Linked DNA regions of Arabidopsis thaliana. The protein of the gene in region 1 interacts with the protein of each later gene in a pairwise test. Each region holds a gene or a part of one and is shown in the gene's direction. Other genes may lie near its edges.

What was found.
Region 2: the proteins of RTE1 (region 1) and CB5-E interact in a two-hybrid assay, tested with the Arabidopsis thaliana proteins (one study listed by BioGRID).
Region 3: the proteins of RTE1 (region 1) and ETR1 interact in binary tests that used the Arabidopsis thaliana proteins (3 or more experiments, as listed by UniProt).
Region 4: the proteins of RTE1 (region 1) and CB5-D interact in a two-hybrid assay, tested with the Arabidopsis thaliana proteins (one study listed by BioGRID).

The regions. Positions count from the first base shown.
Region 1 is NC_003071.7:11,103,919-11,109,574, reverse strand, and holds RTE1 (protein REVERSION-TO-ETHYLENE SENSITIVITY-like protein (DUF778)), read left to right. Parts: upstream 1-2,386; 5' UTR 2,387-2,609; intron 2,610-2,957; 5' UTR 2,958-2,967; coding exon 2,968-3,834; 3' UTR 3,835-3,970; downstream 3,971-5,656. Other genes in the region: GLDP2 (glycine decarboxylase P-protein 2), read left to right, coding at 1-64, 154-245; emb1345 (Transducin/WD40 repeat-like superfamily protein), read right to left, coding at 4,448-4,522, 4,771-4,854, 5,034-5,103, 5,325-5,387, 5,546-5,617. UniProt on the Arabidopsis thaliana protein: Acts at an early step in the ethylene signaling pathway. Positively regulates ETR1, leading to the negative regulation of ethylene responses.
Region 2 is NC_003076.8:21,756,649-21,761,657, forward strand, and holds CB5-E (cytochrome B5), read left to right. Parts: upstream 1-2,680; 5' UTR 2,681-2,816; intron 2,817-2,968; 5' UTR 2,969-2,979; coding exon 2,980-3,066; intron 3,067-3,299; coding exon 3,300-3,366; intron 3,367-3,454; coding exon 3,455-3,705; 3' UTR 3,706-3,930; downstream 3,931-5,009. Other genes in the region: YSL3 (YELLOW STRIPE like 3), read left to right, coding at 1-76, 311-408, 498-632, 717-906, 995-1,112, 1,191-2,128; AT5G53570 (Ypt/Rab-GAP domain of gyp1p superfamily protein), read right to left, coding at 4,276-5,009. UniProt on the Arabidopsis thaliana protein: Membrane bound hemoprotein which function as an electron carrier for several membrane bound oxygenases, including fatty acid desaturases.
Region 3 is NC_003070.9:24,732,073-24,739,439, forward strand, and holds ETR1 (Signal transduction histidine kinase, hybrid-type, ethylene sensor), read left to right. Parts: upstream 1-2,089; 5' UTR 2,090-2,211; intron 2,212-2,580; 5' UTR 2,581-2,625; coding exon 2,626-3,531; intron 3,532-3,606; coding exon 3,607-3,975; intron 3,976-4,052; coding exon 4,053-4,307; intron 4,308-4,389; coding exon 4,390-4,517; intron 4,518-4,607; coding exon 4,608-4,805; intron 4,806-4,933; coding exon 4,934-5,294; 3' UTR 5,295-5,646; downstream 5,647-7,367. Other genes in the region: AT1G66330 (senescence-associated family protein), read right to left, coding at 1-72; AT1G66345 (Pentatricopeptide repeat (PPR) superfamily protein), read left to right, coding at 5,647-7,281. UniProt on the Arabidopsis thaliana protein: Ethylene receptor related to bacterial two-component regulators. Acts as a redundant negative regulator of ethylene signaling.
Region 4 is NC_003076.8:19,787,973-19,793,305, reverse strand, and holds CB5-D (cytochrome B5), read left to right. Parts: upstream 1-2,933; 5' UTR 2,934-3,125; coding exon 3,126-3,212; exon of another isoform or gene 3,213-3,647; coding exon 3,648-3,714; intron 3,715-3,788; coding exon 3,789-4,057; 3' UTR 4,058-4,239; downstream 4,240-5,333. Other genes in the region: ICK6 (inhibitor/interactor with cyclin-dependent kinase), read left to right, coding at 356-550, 629-698; AT5G48800 (Phototropic-responsive NPH3 family protein), read right to left, coding at 4,303-4,848, 4,919-5,333. UniProt on the Arabidopsis thaliana protein: Membrane bound hemoprotein which function as an electron carrier for several membrane bound oxygenases, including fatty acid desaturases.

The DNA.
Region 1 (5,656 bases):
TCACGGGAATACGCAGCCTTCCCCGCTCCATGGCTCCGCTCCTCCAAGTTCTGGCCCACTACAGGTACTTGAAAACTAGGGGTGGCATTTCCCATAGAAAACAATTTGTTATTTGTAAATCGTTTCAAAATGTATTAAATATGTGTGAAACAGGGCGAGTGGACAACGTGTATGGAGACCGTAATCTGGTGTGCACTCTCCAACCGGCGAACGAAGAACAGGCTGCAGCTGCAGTGTCTGCTTAAATGAAGCCACTATGAAGCGATTCGCACTCGCACCAAAACCCACAATGGGGCGATTCGGACTCATACCGGATCCAGAAACGTATCTTTACTGGCTTTTACTTCTCTTCCCAGCCTCATCATCACTTTCACTTTCACTTCCTGTACAATGTACATACGTAGTCCTAAGTTCTTCCCTCATTTATTTAATAAAATACATTTCTTTATGTTCCACTTTCTTATACGTATAACATTCCATTTGGATGATGTGATCACCATCGTGGTTATATTTATGCCATATGATCTCTTTGAAAAAAGTTTGAATTCTTAGGATATTTATTGTTTCATTTTATAATTAGGAAATTTGGCAAAATAACCATAATTCTAGGTTTTATAAACAAACTGACTGACAACATATAGGTTCTGAATGGTTGCATGTAGAGTAAAAAGTGGAAGTGAAGGAGACAAAAAAATTTAGTGAAAGAAACAACCAAATATTAAAGGAAAGGAATCTAAATTTTGAAGTAGTTATTTTTTCTCTCTCCTTTGGGTAGAGTTAGATTTTTTTTTATAAAAAAAAGCTTAATACCAACTTGAACTTCCTTTCCAAAGAAAACTAGGAACTTGGTAGAGTTAAAATTTAATTTCACTTTTCTACATTTTGGCCAAAAAAAAACAAAAAGCAGTTCTAACCAATGCTAATCTTTTCTATTTTAGAGACACACATTGGAACAAAATCAACTCTAAAATAGTGAAAAAAAATAAAGGTAGGACATGGGAGATGCTCTTATGTTTCTGCTAATTTTTTCAATTGCCACTAATCAGACTTGTAGCATTATTCTACTAAATATCAGATTGGACATTAGATCACCTATACTAAAACCATCTCCAATGGTCACCTCTATAAATAGAGGAAAATATAGAGGTCATCATTAGAGATGCCCTAAGTCCTTGAACCAAAACCTGTATTTCCTCACAGAAAATAGATTTTCTGTATAGCCACATTAATTCATTCTAACTAGACTCTCACTGAATCTTTGAGAGGACCAACCTCATAATGATTTTTTCCTATCCTATATACTAATGCTTGTTTTTTTTTTTCTTCCGAAAGGTGATTAAAGGAGCATATTCTCATCGAGCCCTGTTCGGTTACCTCTCTAGCAAACAACTCATCTATCCTACGCTTTATCACTATTTTAGAGCACCTGACATTTCTCTTAAGAACAAATCAACCTTGTAAAGCATATGTGGCTTGATTCAAAAAGACAAACACTAGTGATAGACGCAAGAACCCTAAATAAAAAAAGTTTTCTAGATTCTCAAAACCGTTAGGTCTGACAGACATATATAAACAATTATCGAATTGTTATTAATTAATACGATGTCACTCTATACCTATAATAGAGATTAGGGTTTCCATGTGTTCATTTATCCAACCATAATTAATAACGACAACGGTAATCAATAAGACACATTAAGATTGATCGGTCAAGAGTTATGAGTTTCATAAGTCATCTCCAAATTTTGCGGAAACTAAATATTTAAACATCGGATTCTCTGTTTGTCAGTTGTCAGATCATCTGACTCGCATGCACATGATTCGTCTCAAAAAGGCAAACACGAATGATAGATGCAAGGACCCTAAATCAAGAAAGTTTTCTCGATTCTTAAAACCGTTACGTCCGACAGAAAAACATAAACAATTGTCGAATTGTCATAAATACGATGTCACTCTATACCTATAATAGAGATTGAGGTTTCCATGTGTTCATTTATCCAACCATAATGAATAACGACAACGGTAATCAAACACGACAAATTAGAAATAATCGTTCAAGAGATTTGAGTTTTATAGATTGACTCCAAATTTTACGGAAACTAAATATATAAACATCGGTTTCTTTGTTACAAAAAAAAAACATTGGATTCTCTTCAGTATTTGAGCTTTTATTACTGAAAATACAAATTTTATAATTTCGTAGCTCTGGATTCTGATAGTAAAACTGCAATTGAGAAGGATATTCAAATATTTCAAAATTTTCTAGTAAAACTGCAATTCGTAGATCTTTTTTTTTTGTTCAAAGTTTTGATAAAGCAAACGTCCCTTTTTCCTTAAAATAATTAACTTAGTATATAATAATAAAATTAAGACAGTGCAGTAATTGATAAACAACCAAAGGTTCATTGTACCTTTCTCCATTGTCTTCAATGAATTCCTAAAACTAGAAGAAGCGTTACTTTAGAAAACCAATTATAAAAATCTCCTCTTTCTTCATCAAATTCCACAAAGCATCAGTTTCTTCTCCTTCTCCAAGCTCTCGCATCACTTTCATCGATTTTTCCTCTCTGCGTCGATCCTTCAGACATCGGCGTCGGAGTTTCCGACAGGTAAATGTAAAACACAGTCCACTGTTATTCCCTGCTTCTTAGCTTTCCATTATGATTTTTTGTTGTGATTTTTACTGTTTTCTACGGAAATGCTTTTGATGGGTTTTGTTTAGTTTCCGGTGAAATTTACAGAGAAACCCACAATGCTGAAAATCTGAATTAGGCTCAAGTTAGGAGATTACTACACAATTAGTGCTGTGAGAATGAATATACGGACATGCTTTGTTAAAAAGATTGAAACTTTTGCTTCATTTTGATCAAAAGATTTTAACTTTCGATTCTTTTAGTAAATGGGTCGCTCTTTGTTTGGACTATAATGATCAGACTGCTCTTGTCTTGTGTGATTAGGAATCTAAAAATGTCACGTGGAAGAGGAGTTCCTATGATGGACCTGAAACGAAGTTATGATGTTGAAGACAGGGTGGTGTCCGTGTCTATACCATCAATAATCGAAGCTGATGAGGCTGATCTGTGGCCACTACCTGAGATTGATACCAAGAAGTCGAAATTTCCTTGCTGTATAGTTTGGACTCCTCTTCCTGTTGTCTCTTGGTTGGCTCCTTTCATTGGTCATATTGGACTTTGCAGAGAAGATGGAGTCATTTTGGACTTTGCTGGATCTAACTTCATCAATGTTGATGATTTTGCATTTGGTCCTCCTGCTCGCTATCTCCAACTCGATAGAACCAAGGTATTAGTATCTGCTTCTTTATTAAGTAGAATCTGGTTATGCATGGACTTTGTTAGTTTTGTATCAAATTATAAGAACTTTTTAATCTTTATCAAATGTGTGTGTTTGTGGCAGTGTTGCTTACCACCAAATATGGGTGGACATACTTGCAAGTATGGATTCAAACACACCGACTTTGGAACAGCGCGTACATGGGATAATGCACTGAGCTCGAGCACACGTAGCTTTGAGCATAAAACCTACAACATCTTCACTTGTAACTGCCATTCGTTTGTTGCAAACTGTTTGAACCGTCTTTGCTATGGTGGCTCAATGGAGTGGAATATGGTGAATGTTGCTATTTTACTTATGATCAAAGGGAAATGGATCAATGGTTCATCAGTAGTCCGCTCGTTTCTGCCATGTGCTGTGGTCACGTCTTTGGGGGTGGTGCTTGTCGGCTGGCCATTCCTCATCGGTCTCTCTTCGTTCTCGCTACTACTCTTTGCCTGGTTCATAATTGCTACTTACTGTTTTAAGAACATAATTACTTGAAGCAGTATGAGAGAAATATAAATATGATGTATCACCAAAATTATGTTAATCTTAAGAATTGTTCTCTTTTCCTTTCGGCACCATCTAGCTTTCAACTCCAAAATTATGTTAATCTTAAAAAATTGTTCTCTTTTTCCTAATCCGTAGATTATTTAGAGGTGATGTGTCATAGTAAAGGAAAAAAATATACATATTCGGAGGCCCTTAAGAAAAAAACATACAATATCCAAATAAATGTATTGTTAGGTATTAACAAAAAGAAAAAATATTGTAAGATCTTACAAGCACAAGCAGCAACCATATGAGTTGCATCTAAATTTGCTATTTATATGGAAAAAAGAAGTTTCTCCAAAGTTGTACGATATCAGCTATGTATTTTTTGTTTCGTCAAAAAGTTGTTTATTAAATTCCACAAAGTTGTACCAACAGTGTTAAAACTTAAGTGATCGTAGTAAAAGTAAAACAGAAATCGTATGAAACATCATGGAGCTAATCTTGTATGACAAAATAGTATAGAGTTCTCTTCTACCTAAAATGTTATGTTGTTTACAGATAGACCTCAGAAAAAGTAAAACAACACAGGAGTTTCAGAACCTATCCAAACCAACAGCAGTCACGGTTTAGTTGCAAGCTGCCAAATCTTGACCATCCCATCATCACTAGCCGACGCAAGCAACCGGTTCCCCTCCTGTAGCAGGTTACAATTCCAAGGTCAAAATCATAGACAACATAACCACATGTACTTGGGCCAATGTAAGTCGAGTAATCAATGGCATCATTTCTCTGATCCTAAAACTAAGCTTGAGTATTATGTTCTAACTTCTAATTCACATTTATAAGATGCCATATAGACTATACTTAATCATTGCAACCATGTATCAAGTACGAAATAGTATGCACTTGTGTCTATTACTTCATAAGAAACATGGAACTTACACCGGGTGACCATTGGACAGAGTTTACATCATTTTCATGTGCTTTATTCTTCTTCAGCAAAAGATTATATGAAGGTCCATCAACCTGGTACACAAAAGAATGACTTTAAGTTCAAAGATGAAGCAGAAAAGTTTAATTGTATAGTGGTAAACCATTGGCAAGACTAGGAGAGATAGAATCTGCTGCCTGCATTTGGTTTCTTGTATTGAGATATGTAAGTTAGGCGTGTATATATGGAAAGATATTAACCAAATTCAACTTACAGAGTCATGTTTGCTGTCCACAAACAACCGTATAGCATTATCGCCTGCTCCACTGGCAATAATGTCGTCCCTGTCAAAAATTTAAAATAAAAAGAAAACAAAACAAAACTGAGTTTAAACTCAGCACAGTCTCACGAAAGAGCATTAAAAATCCCAATTTGGATGCATTCGACAGATGACTGGGAGCGTAAATATCAGGTACAACAAAGAGTTTTTCCTTTTAGGCTGGCAGATTTAGAAATTAGGCAGAGTTACACGATGCTTTAAAGAAAACATGTGAGGTGTCAATACCTTGACCAGTGAGCTGAGTATATGGTACGGTCATGATAGCCAGAGAGAGTACAAAGATGAATCCTGCAAAGTCCGAGCAAGTAAGGATTACATTAGTCAAAATTGGACGGAGAAAAATTCTTGAAGAAGTCAAATAATCTTGTAGGCTACATACTACGTCCAGCTCTAAACGTAAGAAACAAATAAATTCGATTACATGTAATAACCCACTATTTTCTCACCAAGGTGCATATTCTTCACCAGACTGCATCTTGGCAATATCTGTCCCCCATATCTTCAAGGTTAGATCATCACTGCAAATACACATTCAGGCAAGCTTGCTACTGTAAGAA
Region 2 (5,009 bases), on another chromosome or scaffold:
TGGAATCGGTTGGATGACCGCTTTCTTGTTCTTTACTTGCTTTGTTGGTCTTTTAGCATTGGTTCCTCTAAGAAAGGTAGAGATTATTTAAGATTCTGTCTCATTGAATTTGTAGTTAGAGATGTTGCGGTAGGCCAAAGTTTGCGGGTCAGTCCGGCCCATATAAGTGTGATATGGGCCTGGCCAAACCCGCTATAGCCAACATAGGACGGAGATTAATATTGGCCAAGTTTGGACTATTAATCCCCTGTTGGCTGGTTTGGGTCTACATTGCTAAGTGTTCATTATGCTTCTTTTTTTGGTTAACCAGATCATGATCATAGACTACAAGCTGACATATCCAAGTGGAACAGCTACCGCGGTTTTGATCAACGGTTTCCACACTCCTAAAGGCAATAAAATGGCCAAGTATTAACTCGATTTTTTGGCAGTCTCTTAGCTCTCTTTCACCACTAATTCTAGAGTTTTTGATTTAAATAAAATCTGTTTATATGCAGGAAACAAGTGTTTGGGTTTGTGAAGTACTTCTCATTTAGCTTCATTTGGGCTTTCTTCCAATGGTTCTTCTCTGGTGGTACAGAGTGCGGTTTCATTCAGTTTCCAACTTTCGGGTTAGAAGCTTTGAAGAACACGTGAGTATTATTCTTAGTTCTATTGACTGTTTATATATCAACAGATAGAAACAGAATCTTGATGATCTTGAAAAAACTTGACAGATTCTACTTCGACTTTAGCATGACATACGTTGGAGCAGGAATGATCTGTCCCCATATTGTCAATATATCTTTGCTTTTTGGCGCGGTTCTGTCTTGGGGAATCATGTGGCCACTCATTAAAGGTCTTAAAGGAGATTGGTTCCCATCAACTCTTCCTGAAAACAGCATGAAGAGTCTCAATGGTTACAAGGTTCCATACAAAAAACACTAGTACTCTACAATAAACTCCGCCCTTTCTTTCGCGTACTTTCGTTCTTAATTTGTTCATAACTCTTTAGGTGTTTATATCAATCTCATTGATCCTCGGAGACGGGCTTTACCAATTCATCAAGATACTTTTTAAGACAGGAATAAACATGTACGTCAAGTTAAACAATCGCAACTCTGGGAAATCTAGTAAGTATACACCAAAAAAACTATAGAAAAATCGTCATTTCAATAATGTATTATCTGATGTTCAAACGTAAATCGCAGATTCGGAGAAAGATAAGCAATCTATTGCAGATCTTAAAAGAGATGAGATCTTTGTAAGAGACAGCATTCCATTATGGGTTGCAGCAGTAGGATACGCAGCGTTCTCTGTTGTCTCGATCATCGCGATCCCTATAATGTTCCCCGAGCTGAAATGGTACTTCATAGTCGTAGCTTACATGTTAGCTCCATCGTTAGGTTTCAGTAACGCTTATGGAGCAGGGCTAACAGATATGAACATGGCTTATAACTATGGTAAAGTCGCTCTGTTTATCTTAGCCGCTATGGCAGGGAAACAAAATGGTGTAGTCGCGGGACTTGTCGGATGCGGGTTGATAAAATCGATTGTATCGATTTCTTCTGACCTAATGCACGATTTCAAGACAGGACATTTGACTCTGACTTCACCTAGGTCGATGCTTGTGAGTCAAGCGATCGGTACAGCGATCGGATGCGTTGTGGCGCCTCTAACTTTCTTCTTGTTTTATAAAGCTTTCGATGTCGGGAACCAGGAGGGAGAGTACAAAGCTCCTTACGCTTTGGTATACAGAAACATGGCAATTCTTGGAGTTGAAGGTTTCTCTGCTTTGCCTCAACATTGTTTACAGCTTTGTTACGGGTTTTTCGCATTCGCGGTGGCGGCAAATCTCGTTAGGGATAGGTTACCGGATAAGATAGGGAATTGGGTTCCATTACCGATGGCAATGGCGGTTCCGTTTCTTGTTGGAGGGTACTTTGCTATTGATATGTGTGTGGGAAGTTTGATTGTGTTTGCTTGGAATATGAGAGATCGAGTTAAAGCCGGTTTAATGGTACCGGCGGTTGCTTCCGGTTTGATATGTGGAGATGGTCTATGGATTTTGCCGTCGTCGGTTCTTGCTTTGGCCGGCGTTAGACCTCCTATATGTATGGGCTTCATGCCGAGTAAATATTCGAGTTAAAGATAGCTTTTTACGAGTTTTTACTTTTTTGTGTAGCGACAAAAAAATTAGCTAAAGAATTGTGGAAACAAAAAAAACAGTTTATATAGGAATTGTACTTTGTAAGTTTGTATACACAATAAAGTAATAAACTAGTCTCTCAATTCTATTTAAAAATCCATGTCCCAAGTAACTTCTCCCCAAAAAGAAACTCAATATTTTAGAATAAGGTCAAATGGAATTAAATTCCAGAAGATATTTGCCAAAATAGTGATAAAAATACGGTTAAATTGGTATATGTTTTTACTGACAAAAGGCAAGATTCTTCTATTTTAAGATTTATTTCTTTCTTTGAAATCTGCTAAACGTTGTTAGATCACACTTTATGTGTCTGTTTTTTTTTTTGTCAATTCAGCACACGTCATATTTGTATTTTTCAAAGTACCAAACGTGGACCAAAATAAAATCTCGTCAAAAATGGAAACCAAATTTTAATTTGATTTGCACAAAGCCCAATTTGATTTGTTTAAAGTCAAAGCCCAACTTGACCAAAACTACCCCTGCTCATCCAAACCCTAAGCAAAATATCGAGGGTAGTTTCGTATTTTGTTTATATTGAACACAATTAAGTAGGTGAGGAACCTCTATTTCTTCCGTCTTCTGCTGATTTCTGAGCTTCGGAGCTATCGAAAATTCTGAATCTGAAAGGGTAAAGATCCCATCTTTTTCCAAAAATCGATAAGGGAATTAGTATATTCGTTCATTCATCATCGTTCTGATGATTTCGATTTGAATCTGTATCTAGTACTCTGTATTATCAGAAATTTTGATTAGTAGCTTTGATGTGTTCTTGTTTTGCAGTTTGAGTGAAGATGTCTTCAGATCGGAAGGTTCTAAGTTTTGAAGAAGTTTCAAAGCACAACAAAACTAAGGATTGTTGGCTTATTATTTCCGGCAAGGTTAGATCTTGTCTCTTTGTTTGAGAACATCTCTGTTTTTTGACGAACTTAGTTCTCTTCCGCCATTGATTTGTGTCAAAGCTTCGATTTTAAAGTTGTAGAGTTGGATTGTTACTGTTAGAAGCTTTAATCGAGCCCCTCGTAGATTTAGTTGATTCTATGTTAATTCACACTAGAGAAACAGAGTTTGTGTCTACTACTTGGTTATGATCTGTGATTGTTGCGTTCTTTAGGTGTATGATGTGACTCCATTCATGGATGATCATCCTGGAGGCGATGAAGTCTTGTTGTCCTCAACAGGTATAAAACTTGTGTTTCTCTCTGATTCAAGGCGGATTTGAAGCGGCTCGGTGACTGTTTCTGTTCTGATGTGGTGTTTTGTTTGCAGGGAAAGATGCTACAAATGATTTTGAAGACGTTGGTCACAGCGACACTGCAAGGGACATGATGGACAAATATTTCATTGGTGAGATTGATTCGTCTAGTGTTCCAGCAACTAGGACATACGTTGCACCACAGCAACCAGCCTACAACCAAGACAAGACACCAGAATTCATTATCAAGATTCTTCAGTTCCTTGTTCCGATCTTGATCTTGGGATTGGCTCTTGTCGTCCGTCACTATACCAAGAAAGACTAGAAGAAGCCAAAGGCTTGCTTTGATGCTTGTCATTGAATATCTCTACCGATCTCTGTCTATCTCTCTTGCGAAAAAAAGTACTGTTACTGTTGTTTGGTCTTAGACTGATTCTTGTTGAAATTACGAACCAAAAATCATTGTGTTGCTACTAGTTTTACTGTGTTGAGTTTATGATGACAGTGTTTTCGACTTTGATGATATAATAAAAGACTGCTTGATTTGCCCAAACTTAAGCTGCTTGATAAAGAAGTGAGAAACTGGATTTCTACAATTGAACAAATATGTTTCATACAATTGTGGAAATGACAGTTTCAGACTCATCCGTTACATTTTAACAAGAATATTGCCTTGTCTTTTTCATTAGTACTACAATAAAAGCGATAAGGATAGTAGTATTGTGTTTTCTCTGTGTGATGAGTAAACAAAAAGAAAGAAGAAAGAAAGAGAGGAGTGAAAACGGTAAGAACCAAACCGCAACAAACTTTAAACCTTGAGAAAACGCAGCCAGACGAGTGCAAGGGCTTTTGTGTAGTGGAAACACTTCATTTCTGGCTTTGATCGACTTCTTCATCAAATACTCTGTGATTGAGAAAGAGTTTCAATCTTGTCGTGAAGCGTCACGACAAGATGATGGGCATCATCAAGAAGCTTCCAGACATTAAGCTGACCAGCCATGCTATTACACTCTTCCACAATCTCATCCATACTACTGTATTTCTGTATGATCAGTTTCCTACGTAGTACTAACGCCGCGATTGCATAGAGCAACAAATCATCCGTTGGCGGTGCTTGTTGCCGGATTCTGCTCCATGGCGACTTCCCAACTCCAGCTCTAATGGCAGCTTGATCAGCCCACATCACTTCCCAGAGACACAGCGTCTGTTCAAAACTCAACTCCCTCCTAAACATAACAAGCACCATCCTGTAAACGAAACTACAATCTTCTGCTTGAAGATTCTCCAAGTGTTTATAAAGCTGAGAGTCTTTATTTTTTATGATCTTTGATACAATGCTTAGCTGTCTTTGAATCCCTGCTTCGTCAAGCCTGAAATTGTGCCGAGCTTTCTTCATGAAACCAACAAAGCACCAGAAAGCCTCGTGATCCTCTGAGATCACAGCGAGGATTGGAGATAACAGATCACTCATTCCTTGACAGTAGCCTATCTCAGGATCATACATAGCATAAGCTTCAAGAATTGCAACTAACCGTGCTGCGTGGTATAGCCTGCAGCTTTCTAAGTGATCATAGTCTTTTAACCCGACAGATTCGGCTAACCTGCGAGCTTTGCTTTCTGTGATTGCTG
Region 3 (7,367 bases), on another chromosome or scaffold:
AGATCTTGAAGCATTAACACTCTTAACTAAAATTGGACTATTGGGAACAACCTTGCTCACGTTAAGAGCCATTGAGATAAACCTAAATATCAAAATTGATTCAGATAAACTTATCAAGGCATCAAATTTATAAAATTCTCGATTTTAGAACGACATAAAGATACAATTTTGCTTAAATGTAGAGATTACCCACTTGAATCAAACTCAAAGTATTGATTTTTAAGACAAAGCCCATCAAGGAAAAATTGGGAATTGGAGAGATGAAACAGTGAAGAACACAGATTCGATAGAGAAGAGAGACTAACCTTGTGGGAAGAAATGAAGAAGAAGAGTAATCCAAAGAAGGATTTAGGATTTTAGGGAGAAAGAAGAGGACAAAGAAGGAGAATTATGGGATTAGAAGTGAAAATTGTAACCACAAGAGTTACTTGTGGACCAGTGTGAGCCAACCATGTCCTAAGTTTTCTTTCTATTTCGATTCTCTGGTCATTATAGTATTGGCCCCACTCTTTCCCTTAATATCAATTTGGTTCAATCCATATATTTTGGTATTGCGATTTTTATTCTTATTTTAAATTGAAGGACCAACACTTATATATAAAGAATATACACCAATCTATTTATTATTAATTAGATTTAATTTGGAAATCCATAAAATTTAATACAGTAAAATCTCTATAAATTAATAATGTTGAGACCACAAAATTCTATTAATTTATAAAGGTATTAATTTATCGATAAATTAATATTTATTAATTTACAGAGAGATTTTCCAAAAGTGGTAATTTTTTTTTTAATTTCTATAAAAATTTAAGATTCATTCCATTATCTAAAATATATTTTTAGAACCAATTACAAATAGAAATAATTATCATGTCTAGAAAACAACAAGAAAAGTTTTTGATAGAGTAAAAATATTAAAATGAAATAAAAAAAAACTTATACAAATTTAAGTAAAAAAAAAACAATATTAAAATTATATTTCTCTGTAATTTATGATATTAATGGGACCCTATGTTTATATAAGATTTTCAAAAAAACTATTATCTTATTAATTTATCGATTTGTATCACTTTTTACAGTGGTTCCAACTCGGGACCGAAAAAATTTATTAATTTATAGAGATTATTAATTTATCGAGTATTAATTTATAGAGGTTTTACTGTATGTATCAAAATTTCGTGTGTTGAGATTTAATACTGATCTTAAAATGAGATTCAGTTCGAGATAGGCTGATTAGAGCCATCATCTTGAAGGTATATATTAAGATTCCATATTGTAAGTTTGAAGTAATCAACACTAGTATATATGAGACATAAACGTTGGTTGAGAATTGAATCGATGAAATTTAGTTTTGTTTGGATTTTGATTTGACTGGTTAAGGTCTTATGTACATTTTTCGGAGGATTGATTTCAAAAAAAACTAATGTAATAATTTTATATAATTGCTTAATATACTTTTGGTTTAGGATCAAATTTCTGGTTAACTCTGATTTAGTTTTGAGGTACTGAAAACCTATATTATGTCAATTTGGAGATATATTACAGTTAACCAGATATAACATTAGTAGTTTGATATATCTCCAAGTTGACATAATATAGCTTTTATTCACATGAACATATTTGTTTGATTCAACTTGTTTTACTTCTCTTACAACTATATAATGTTTTATACAAACGATTATTTACATAAGATTACACTTAAAACTCATAATTTTATATTGGCTAAACATATATATTGCTTAATCTCCAAATGACATTATCATTCTCCTTTTTTGAAATCATACGAATCAATGTAAGGTGAAAGTTAGTGAAAACAATATTTTGCATTTTTTGGTGAAACCATAAAGATAGTATTTGTTGATAAATATGGGGATATTTATCCTATATTATCTGTATTTTTCTTACCATTTTTACTCTATTCCTTTATCTACATTACGTCATTACACTATCATAAGATATTTGAATGAACAAATTCATGCACCCACCAGCTATATTACCCTTTTTTATTAAAAAAAAACATCTGATAATAATAACAAAAAAATTAGAGAAATGACGTCGAAAAAAAAAGTAAGAACGAAGAAGAAGTGTTAAACCCAACCAATTTTGACTTGAAAAAAAGCTTCAACGCTCCCCTTTTCTCCTTCTCCGTCGCTCTCCGCCGCGTCCCAAATCCCCAATTCCTCCTCTTCTCCGATCAATTCTTCCCAAGTAAGCTTCTTCTTCCTCGATTCTCTCCTCAGATTGTTTCGTGACTTCTTTATATATATTCTTCACTTCCACAGTTTTCTTCTGTTGTTGTCGTCGATCTCAAATCATAGAGATTGATTAACCTAATTGGTCTTTATCTAGTGTAATGCATCGTTATTAGGAACTTTAAATTAAGATTTAATCGTTAATTTCATGATTCGGATTCGAATTTTACTGTTCTCGAGACTGAAATATGCAACCTATTTTTTCGTAATCGTTGTGATCGAATTCGATTCTTCAGAATTTATAGCAATTTTGATGCTCATGATCTGTCTACGCTACGTTCTCGTCGTAAATCGAAGTTGATAATGCTATGTGTTTGTTACACAGGTGTGTGTATGTGTGAGAGAGGAACTATAGTGTAAAAAATTCATAATGGAAGTCTGCAATTGTATTGAACCGCAATGGCCAGCGGATGAATTGTTAATGAAATACCAATACATCTCCGATTTCTTCATTGCGATTGCGTATTTTTCGATTCCTCTTGAGTTGATTTACTTTGTGAAGAAATCAGCCGTGTTTCCGTATAGATGGGTACTTGTTCAGTTTGGTGCTTTTATCGTTCTTTGTGGAGCAACTCATCTTATTAACTTATGGACTTTCACTACGCATTCGAGAACCGTGGCGCTTGTGATGACTACCGCGAAGGTGTTAACCGCTGTTGTCTCGTGTGCTACTGCGTTGATGCTTGTTCATATTATTCCTGATCTTTTGAGTGTTAAGACTCGGGAGCTTTTCTTGAAAAATAAAGCTGCTGAGCTCGATAGAGAAATGGGATTGATTCGAACTCAGGAAGAAACCGGAAGGCATGTGAGAATGTTGACTCATGAGATTAGAAGCACTTTAGATAGACATACTATTTTAAAGACTACACTTGTTGAGCTTGGTAGGACATTAGCTTTGGAGGAGTGTGCATTGTGGATGCCTACTAGAACTGGGTTAGAGCTACAGCTTTCTTATACACTTCGTCATCAACATCCCGTGGAGTATACGGTTCCTATTCAATTACCGGTGATTAACCAAGTGTTTGGTACTAGTAGGGCTGTAAAAATATCTCCTAATTCTCCTGTGGCTAGGTTGAGACCTGTTTCTGGGAAATATATGCTAGGGGAGGTGGTCGCTGTGAGGGTTCCGCTTCTCCACCTTTCTAATTTTCAGATTAATGACTGGCCTGAGCTTTCAACAAAGAGATATGCTTTGATGGTTTTGATGCTTCCTTCAGATAGTGCAAGGCAATGGCATGTCCATGAGTTGGAACTCGTTGAAGTCGTCGCTGATCAGGTTTTACATTGCTGAGAATTTCTCTTCTTTGCTATGTTCATGATCTTGTCTATAACTTTTCTTCTCTTATTATAGGTGGCTGTAGCTCTCTCACATGCTGCGATCCTAGAAGAGTCGATGCGAGCTAGGGACCTTCTCATGGAGCAGAATGTTGCTCTTGATCTAGCTAGACGAGAAGCAGAAACAGCAATCCGTGCCCGCAATGATTTCCTAGCGGTTATGAACCATGAAATGCGAACACCGATGCATGCGATTATTGCACTCTCTTCCTTACTCCAAGAAACGGAACTAACCCCTGAACAAAGACTGATGGTGGAAACAATACTTAAAAGTAGTAACCTTTTGGCAACTTTGATGAATGATGTCTTAGATCTTTCAAGGTTAGAAGATGGAAGTCTTCAACTTGAACTTGGGACATTCAATCTTCATACATTATTTAGAGAGGTAACTTTTGAACAGCTCTATGTTTCATAAGTTTATACTATTTGTGTACTTGATTGTCATATTGAATCTTGTTGCAGGTCCTCAATCTGATAAAGCCTATAGCGGTTGTTAAGAAATTACCCATCACACTAAATCTTGCACCAGATTTGCCAGAATTTGTTGTTGGGGATGAGAAACGGCTAATGCAGATAATATTAAATATAGTTGGTAATGCTGTGAAATTCTCCAAACAAGGTAGTATCTCCGTAACCGCTCTTGTCACCAAGTCAGACACACGAGCTGCTGACTTTTTTGTCGTGCCAACTGGGAGTCATTTCTACTTGAGAGTGAAGGTTATTATCTTGTATCTTGGGATCTTATACCATAGCTGAAAGTATTTCTTAGGTCTTAATTTTGATGATTATTCAAATATAGGTAAAAGACTCTGGAGCAGGAATAAATCCTCAAGACATTCCAAAGATTTTCACTAAATTTGCTCAAACACAATCTTTAGCGACGAGAAGCTCGGGTGGTAGTGGGCTTGGCCTCGCCATCTCCAAGAGGTTTGAGCCTTATTAAAAGACGTTTTTTTCCAACTTTTTCTTGTCTTCTGTGTTGTTAAAAGTTTACTCATAAGCGTTTAATATGACAAGGTTTGTGAATCTGATGGAGGGTAACATTTGGATTGAGAGCGATGGTCTTGGAAAAGGATGCACGGCTATCTTTGATGTTAAACTTGGGATCTCAGAACGTTCAAACGAATCTAAACAGTCGGGCATACCGAAAGTTCCAGCCATTCCCCGACATTCAAATTTCACTGGACTTAAGGTTCTTGTCATGGATGAGAACGGGTTAGTATAAGCTTCTCACCTTTCTCTTTGCAAAATCTCTCGCCTTACTTCTTGCAAATGCAGATATTGGCGTTTAGAAAAAACGCAAATTTAATCTTATGAGAAACCGATGATTATTTTGGTTGCAGGGTAAGTAGAATGGTGACGAAGGGACTTCTTGTACACCTTGGGTGCGAAGTGACCACGGTGAGTTCAAACGAGGAGTGTCTCCGAGTTGTGTCCCATGAGCACAAAGTGGTCTTCATGGACGTGTGCATGCCCGGGGTCGAAAACTACCAAATCGCTCTCCGTATTCACGAGAAATTCACAAAACAACGCCACCAACGGCCACTACTTGTGGCACTCAGTGGTAACACTGACAAATCCACAAAAGAGAAATGCATGAGCTTTGGTCTAGACGGTGTGTTGCTCAAACCCGTATCACTAGACAACATAAGAGATGTTCTGTCTGATCTTCTCGAGCCCCGGGTACTGTACGAGGGCATGTAAAGGCGATGGATGCCCCATGCCCCAGAGGAGTAATTCCGCTCCCGCCTTCTTCTCCCGTAAAACATCGGAAGCTGATGTTCTCTGGTTTAATTGTGTACATATCAGAGATTGTCGGAGCGTTTTGGATGATATCTTAAAACAGAAAGGGAATAACAAAATAGAAACTCTAAACCGGTATGTGTCCGTGGCGATTTCGGTTATAGAGGAACAAGATGGTGGTGGTATAATCATACCATTTCAGATTACATGTTTGACTAATGTTGTATCCTTATATATGTAGTTACATTCTTATAAGAATTTGGATCGAGTTATGGATGCTTGTTGCGTGCATGTATGACATTGATGCAGTATTATGGCGTCAGCTTTGCGCCGCTTAGTAGAACAACAACAATGGCGTTACTTAGTTTCTCAATCAACCCGATCTCCAAAACTCATCCATGGCTTCTTCTCCTTCTCCTCCAAAACTAATCCAAATCCAAACAAACAACAACAAATCCTCATCGACTACATCTCCAAATCCCTCCAATCCAACGATACCTGGGAAACTCTCTCCACCAAATTCTCCTCCATAGATCTATCAGATTCCTTAATCGAAACAATCCTTCTCCGATTCAAAAACCCCGAAACCGCCAAACAAGCTTTATCCTTCTTCCATTGGTCATCCCACACTCGAAATCTCCGTCACGGAATCAAATCTTACGCATTGACGATTCATATCCTTGTCAAAGCTCGATTACTAATCGACGCTCGAGCTTTAATTGAATCGTCTCTGTTAAATTCTCCTCCCGATTCGGATTTAGTCGATTCGTTGTTAGATACTTATGAGATCTCATCTTCTACTCCTTTAGTGTTTGATTTGTTAGTTCAATGTTACGCTAAGATTAGGTATTTGGAATTAGGGTTTGATGTGTTCAAGAGATTGTGTGATTGTGGATTTACTCTTAGTGTGATTACTTTAAACACGTTGATTCATTACTCTTCGAAATCGAAGATTGATGATCTTGTGTGGAGGATTTACGAATGTGCGATTGATAAAAGGATTTATCCGAACGAGATTACGATTCGGATAATGATTCAAGTGTTGTGTAAAGAAGGGAGATTGAAAGAAGTTGTTGATTTGTTAGATAGGATTTGTGGTAAGAGATGTTTACCTTCAGTGATTGTGAATACGAGTTTAGTGTTTAGGGTTTTGGAAGAGATGAGAATAGAGGAGAGTATGAGTTTGTTGAAGAGATTGTTGATGAAGAATATGGTTGTTGATACTATTGGTTATTCGATTGTTGTTTATGCGAAAGCTAAGGAAGGTGATTTGGTGTCTGCACGGAAGGTGTTTGATGAAATGCTTCAACGAGGTTTTAGTGCGAATTCGTTTGTTTATACGGTGTTTGTTAGAGTTTGTTGTGAAAAGGGTGATGTTAAAGAAGCGGAGAGGTTGTTGAGTGAGATGGAGGAGTCTGGAGTCAGTCCGTATGACGAGACGTTTAATTGTCTTATCGGTGGTTTCGCGAGGTTCGGGTGGGAAGAGAAAGGTTTGGAGTATTGTGAGGTAATGGTAACGAGAGGGCTTATGCCTAGTTGTTCGGCTTTCAATGAGATGGTTAAGAGTGTAAGTAAGATTGAGAACGTGAATCGCGCAAATGAAATCTTAACAAAGTCGATAGATAAAGGGTTTGTGCCCGATGAACATACGTACTCTCATCTGATTCGAGGGTTTATAGAAGGAAACGATATCGATCAAGCGCTTAAGCTGTTCTACGAGATGGAATACCGAAAGATGTCTCCTGGTTTCGAGGTGTTTAGGTCACTAATTGTGGGACTCTGCACTTGTGGTAAAGTGGAAGCCGGAGAAAAGTACTTGAAAATTATGAAGAAGAGGTTGATAGAGCCTAATGCAGATATATATGACGCATTGATTAAGGCATTTCAGAAAATTGGTGATAAAACAAATGCTGATAGAGTTTATAATGAGATGATTTCAGTCAGATGATTCAAACCGGGTGGTTTAGGAGGGTGTCTGGGTTGTATGAATTTAAGCTCCATTGAGCTTCATCTTGGGAAAACTTGATTTTGTAT
Region 4 (5,333 bases), on another chromosome or scaffold:
ATATGTAAGATTATATGAGAATTGGGACTTTCCTCATAAGTGTAATGCAAGTACTGTGGTGTCATGTTCATGGGACCTAGTGGTTTTTGCATACTTGGGGAATACTTTTGTAGGATCCTCTGTTTTTTGGGGTAACCGTCCTGCTGCTAGTTGACAATGTGGTGATTGCCTTCTCTTTGTTATTTATTATCTTATGGGACCATATTACTTAGAAAGTCTCTAGCTTTTGTTGTTTACTTAAACCAAGCCTCTTTTTTATTCTGGATGTTTGGTTTTGGTTTGATTCTTGATTTGGTTAAGTGTCTTTGTGGTGATAATGTTATTGAAGTTATTTTATCTGTGTTTTTTTCTGCAGCACAAGGGAGAGCACGCCTTGTAACTTTGTTGAGGATATGGAGATCATGGTTACACCAGGGTCTAGCACGAGGTCGATGTGCAGAGCAACCAAAGAGTACACAAGGGAACAAGATAACGTGATCCCGACCACTAGTGAAATGGAGGAGTTCTTTGCATATGCAGAGCAGCAGCAACAGAGGCTATTCATGGAGAAGTAAGCTTATTCTTTATTTTATTTTTGTGTCATTACGAAGAGGGTGAACAACACTCATGTGTTTTCAATAATCTTCAGGTACAACTTCGACATTGTGAATGATATCCCCCTCAGCGGACGTTACGAATGGGTGCAAGTCAAACCATGAAGTTCAAAAGGAAACAGCTCCAAAAGACATGGTGTGAAGTTAGAGAATGTGATGGAGTTAACAGACTAACCAAACATCAGAAATCGTGTAATCTTAAGTAATAATGTGGTTAGAGAACAAGTTTGAGAGTAGCTTAGGGACCTTAAAACCTCACACCATTTGTACTACTAATCTTCTTCAGATGCTTAGTGAAATTTTCTCATCTGTTTCTTTCAAGTGTTTGTTTTTCTATCTATCTCTCATGTTTATTCAAAGCTATATGTAATGATGATGATTGAGAGGGATGTGTGTGAACATGTTTAAGCTTGGCATATAGTGAAAAAAATGATTCAGATGCAGAAGAAAGAGACCCAATTGAGAGGTTCACGTGTGAATTTTGGTAGGTGTAAAAATCTGAATCATATCCTTTTTCTTTCAACTATACAAGATTGGTCCCTTTTCTTCTCTTACCATAATTATGACGCACGTGAATGTGTGTGTAAATACTTTGACGTTTACATTGAAATACTGTAATGTAAGTTCAGAGTTAAAAGTACAAACACAAAGGTGAATTTTGTACTAATTAGTAAAGAGATAAGAGTGTTTTGAATCTTGAATATCAAATTATTATTAACAAGAAACTGACAAAAAGATGAGACAGTGTTCATTGAGAAGATCTCTGTTGTTTTATCTTTTTTTTTACATTTCTTGGAAATTGGCAAAACCAGTGTGATGAAACTGTGAAATCTTATCTCGAACCCAATCATTGTTCTATGTTTTTCTTTAATCTCTAAAAGTGAAAAAGTGAATGCATGAAACGTTCAGATACATTCATTATATTATACATTTATACATATGGACATGGTGTACGTATGTACACGGGTGCTTGTTTGATCACGGGCTCACTGACTATAAAAATCATGTTTTTTGGGACATATAGATTCGCTTACATCAACTGTGTGACCAATGGGGTATCTGAATTCAGCTTGTTCGATGTTTTGTTTGACTCTTTTAAACTATTTGGTAGTAAAAAGCCAAAAAGGAAGAGCACTGATTACGAAAGCCTTTTTGTCTTTTTGTTTCTTCTTCTCTAGCTCTCTTTCGTTCTCCTTTTGGGTTAGTCCTTCAAAATAAATGTCTTTAACTTGTCATGTATAGTTTCTTTCTCTCGTTGAACACCAACCATAGGCCTTGCAATGTGAGTCAAAACATGCATTGAAAAAAGAAGTGAATTTCAACATTAAATGCTCTCGTTTAACATGCCTATGGTTCCATTAAGCAAAGTACACACTCTATATATGTCGAAAGAACTATACAGTCGGTGTTTTAGCCCTATAGTTAGATACATTCGAACTGATTACAGAAATATCAAATATCCAGTTCTAAGATCGGATTAAGGCAAATACATTTAAACTACTTCTAGCGAATGAGGTTCACATAGAAAAACTTTTTAAAATGAATCACTAAACAAGATTCATTTTCTTTCTAAATAGTGTAAAGACGAGTGATGCATGCAACTGCTCTCCTTTCCGTTGGTCCCTTGTCAAAATATACGACCGTGAATAATTCTTCCCATCATATTTATCTGTCGGAGAGTTCCAACCTCAAAACATTCTCCTTCTCTTATCAATTCTTTCTAAAATCATAAACCAACAAACTGGGCCTATGATCAATTATTCATATTCAATTTAGCCTATAACTAAAACCACACTGCTTTCGTTACACTGGCCTTCCGACAAGTCTCTTTGACTGTTTTTATCTTAAGCGCCATCAAGTTTTAAAGAAGACAACCCCATATCTTTCCTCCCATGAATCATCGTGTCCATATTGCTATAGTTCATGAAAAAACTAAATACTATCGACAACTGAAGAAAAGATCCGGATCTTGTGGACCGAGTGAATGGTTGGGCCCAATTAGAATGGTCTACCCTAACATCTAGCCGTCTACACGATTGATCATACGTCTAAGAGGGCGAAACCACCAAACGTTTGGATTTTATCTAAATTGATGTACATAAAGCTAACATGATTTTAGTATAAACATTATAAGCATCATGGAAATCAATAAGCTAACATGATTTTAGTAGAAACATTATCAGCTAACATGAATTACTAAAAACATTTATTTTATTTTAAGGAAAAACATACAATACTAAGATTTTTTATAACATTTTTTCTTTGTAACATTATAAATTGTTTTAGTTTCTACATTAATTAAATATATAAAATAAATTCATTTAAATAATATAAGAAAACGGAATCTTTGATTAACTGCTGATTATTGGCCACTGATTAATTTCCGACCCCATCAATAGATGAGATCAGACATACACAACTTAAGTAGACCAAAAAAGCGGTTGGTGTAAGATCCCAAACTCACAGATTCCCAAATAATAGTAATACTCTTCCTCTTCTCAACTCTCACCAGTCACCAGCAGATCATCGGAGATGGGCGGAGACGGAAAAGTTTTCACCTTGTCCGAGGTTTCTCAGCACAGTAGCGCCAAGGATTGTTGGATCGTCATCGACGGCAAGGTCCTACATCTCCGATCCCAGTTTCTCATTCGATTTTCCGTTTTCCCTTAGATTTTGCATCTTATCTTCGTGAGATCCGAAATTCTTGAGTTGTGTTGACTTGGATTTATAAATCTAGAGTTATGTAGTAACAAGTTTGGGGATAGATCTGATCTGATTTGCTAGATTAATGTTACTTTTCTAAGTCTAAATCACAGAGAAATTGCTAAAAACTTACGTCTTTATAATTGAATGTGATAGTTGGTGCTGCTTAAGATGTCTCTGTGTGATCTTGTATCTGTAGTTAAAGCTAGTAAGGTTCATGTAGTTCATGTATGTTCTGATGTATGAACTTTTGATAACCCACTTAATCTAGGTCTCTGATTGTGTGGAATTAGGGACTTATATGACAAAGTTTACATTTTTTGTGTGTTTCATTTTGATGGTTATATATAGGTTTATGATGTGACAAAGTTCTTGGATGATCATCCTGGTGGTGATGAGGTTATCTTGACTTCTACAGGTAACATATAGAGATCACTTTCTCTGTTTGTTAGTTCATGTTTATGTTAACAAGAATGTGTTGTTGGTATTCAGGGAAAGATGCGACCGATGATTTCGAGGATGTGGGACATAGTTCGACTGCGAAAGCCATGCTAGATGAGTACTATGTGGGTGATATTGACACAGCTACTGTGCCGGTTAAAGCTAAGTTTGTGCCTCCTACGTCGACGAAAGCCGTGGCTACTCAGGATAAGAGCTCGGATTTTGTTATTAAGCTCCTTCAGTTCCTTGTTCCACTTCTAATCTTAGGCTTGGCTTTCGGCATTCGGTACTACACTAAGACCAAGGCTCCTTCTTCTTGAAAGATTGAATTGTGGCCTAAGTGAATTGCTTGTGTACGACGTGGTTAAACTCTGTCTCTACCTCTGTTTGTCTTGTAAGACATCATTATATTCTCTATTCCAATCAACTGATAGACCTTTGATTTTTAAGCCATCTACCTTTGTTGTCTTATATCAATCAAATCCATTTACAATATCACTCACACACCAGTCTCAAGTCTCACTTAAAAAGCAGCAACAGGTAAGAGAAAATGATAAACACTGAGCTAATCTGTGCTTGCGCAAGTTCTCTCCATCAGTACCTTTGAATCTGTTCTGAAAGACTGCTTTGATGGAGAGCTTGATCCTCTTGAAGAGCTATGCCCAAAGAAGCTAAGTTTCCCCATTTTCTTTGAGAAACTGCTCATGAATTTGCGCGAATGAGACCTCTGCATATCTCTCTTCATACATATATGTTCTTTCTCTAGGTCGTTGAGTCTCATTCTCAACCTAGCTAACTCGAGCTTCAGTTCTCGGTTTTCTCTCCTCAGAGACGCATAGTTGTCTTTGGGGGACATTGTTGCACTGAGAGCTCCGCTATTGATTCTCCATGACTGCTGTTGTTGCTGCTTTGGCTTTGGCTCTTCGTCTGAGTAAGAAGAGCACAAGGAGCTTCGAAGCTTGAGTTGCTCAAAGTAGAGAACTTGAACTATGGATTGCAGAGGAAGCCGCTCGTTTTGTGCAGCGTGTGCTCCAGCTTCTTGTGAGAGTTTCTGGAAGTCAATAAGTTTTGATAGTTTCTTCTTGTCTGAATCTGATAACCCTTGATGTGCCTAAGAGCATAAAACCTAATAAGTATCAAGTCACAACAAGAGTAAGTAAAATTTTCTTGTAGCAACATACCTTAAGATAGAGATCAATGGCGCGGTATAAACCATCGTGAAGGGTGCGAGCATGAGGCGGTAAGGCTTCTGCGATAAGCAAGAACTTAGAAAGGTCAAGGTTAGCATCGGGAGCTATCTCAGCAAGATAACTGTCTACAAGCTTTGCAACTTTAAACATGGCGGTTTGTGAAGGCGAATGTGGACTATCGCATTCAAACACAGACTCTTCATCCTCACTATCATCTCCTCCTTGCTGTGAGAAATTCACTAAGATTCTGTGAACCGTGTCAATGTCGAACAAAGTGTCTCCTGCATGACGAAAAGACGGGATCAAGAGATCGTCAAGAGTCGCCATATCGAGCTGAGAACCTAACCTCCTCTCAAGATCAAGCCTGCAGGAAACTGAAGTATCAAGAATCACTGCTCTTCTCAGT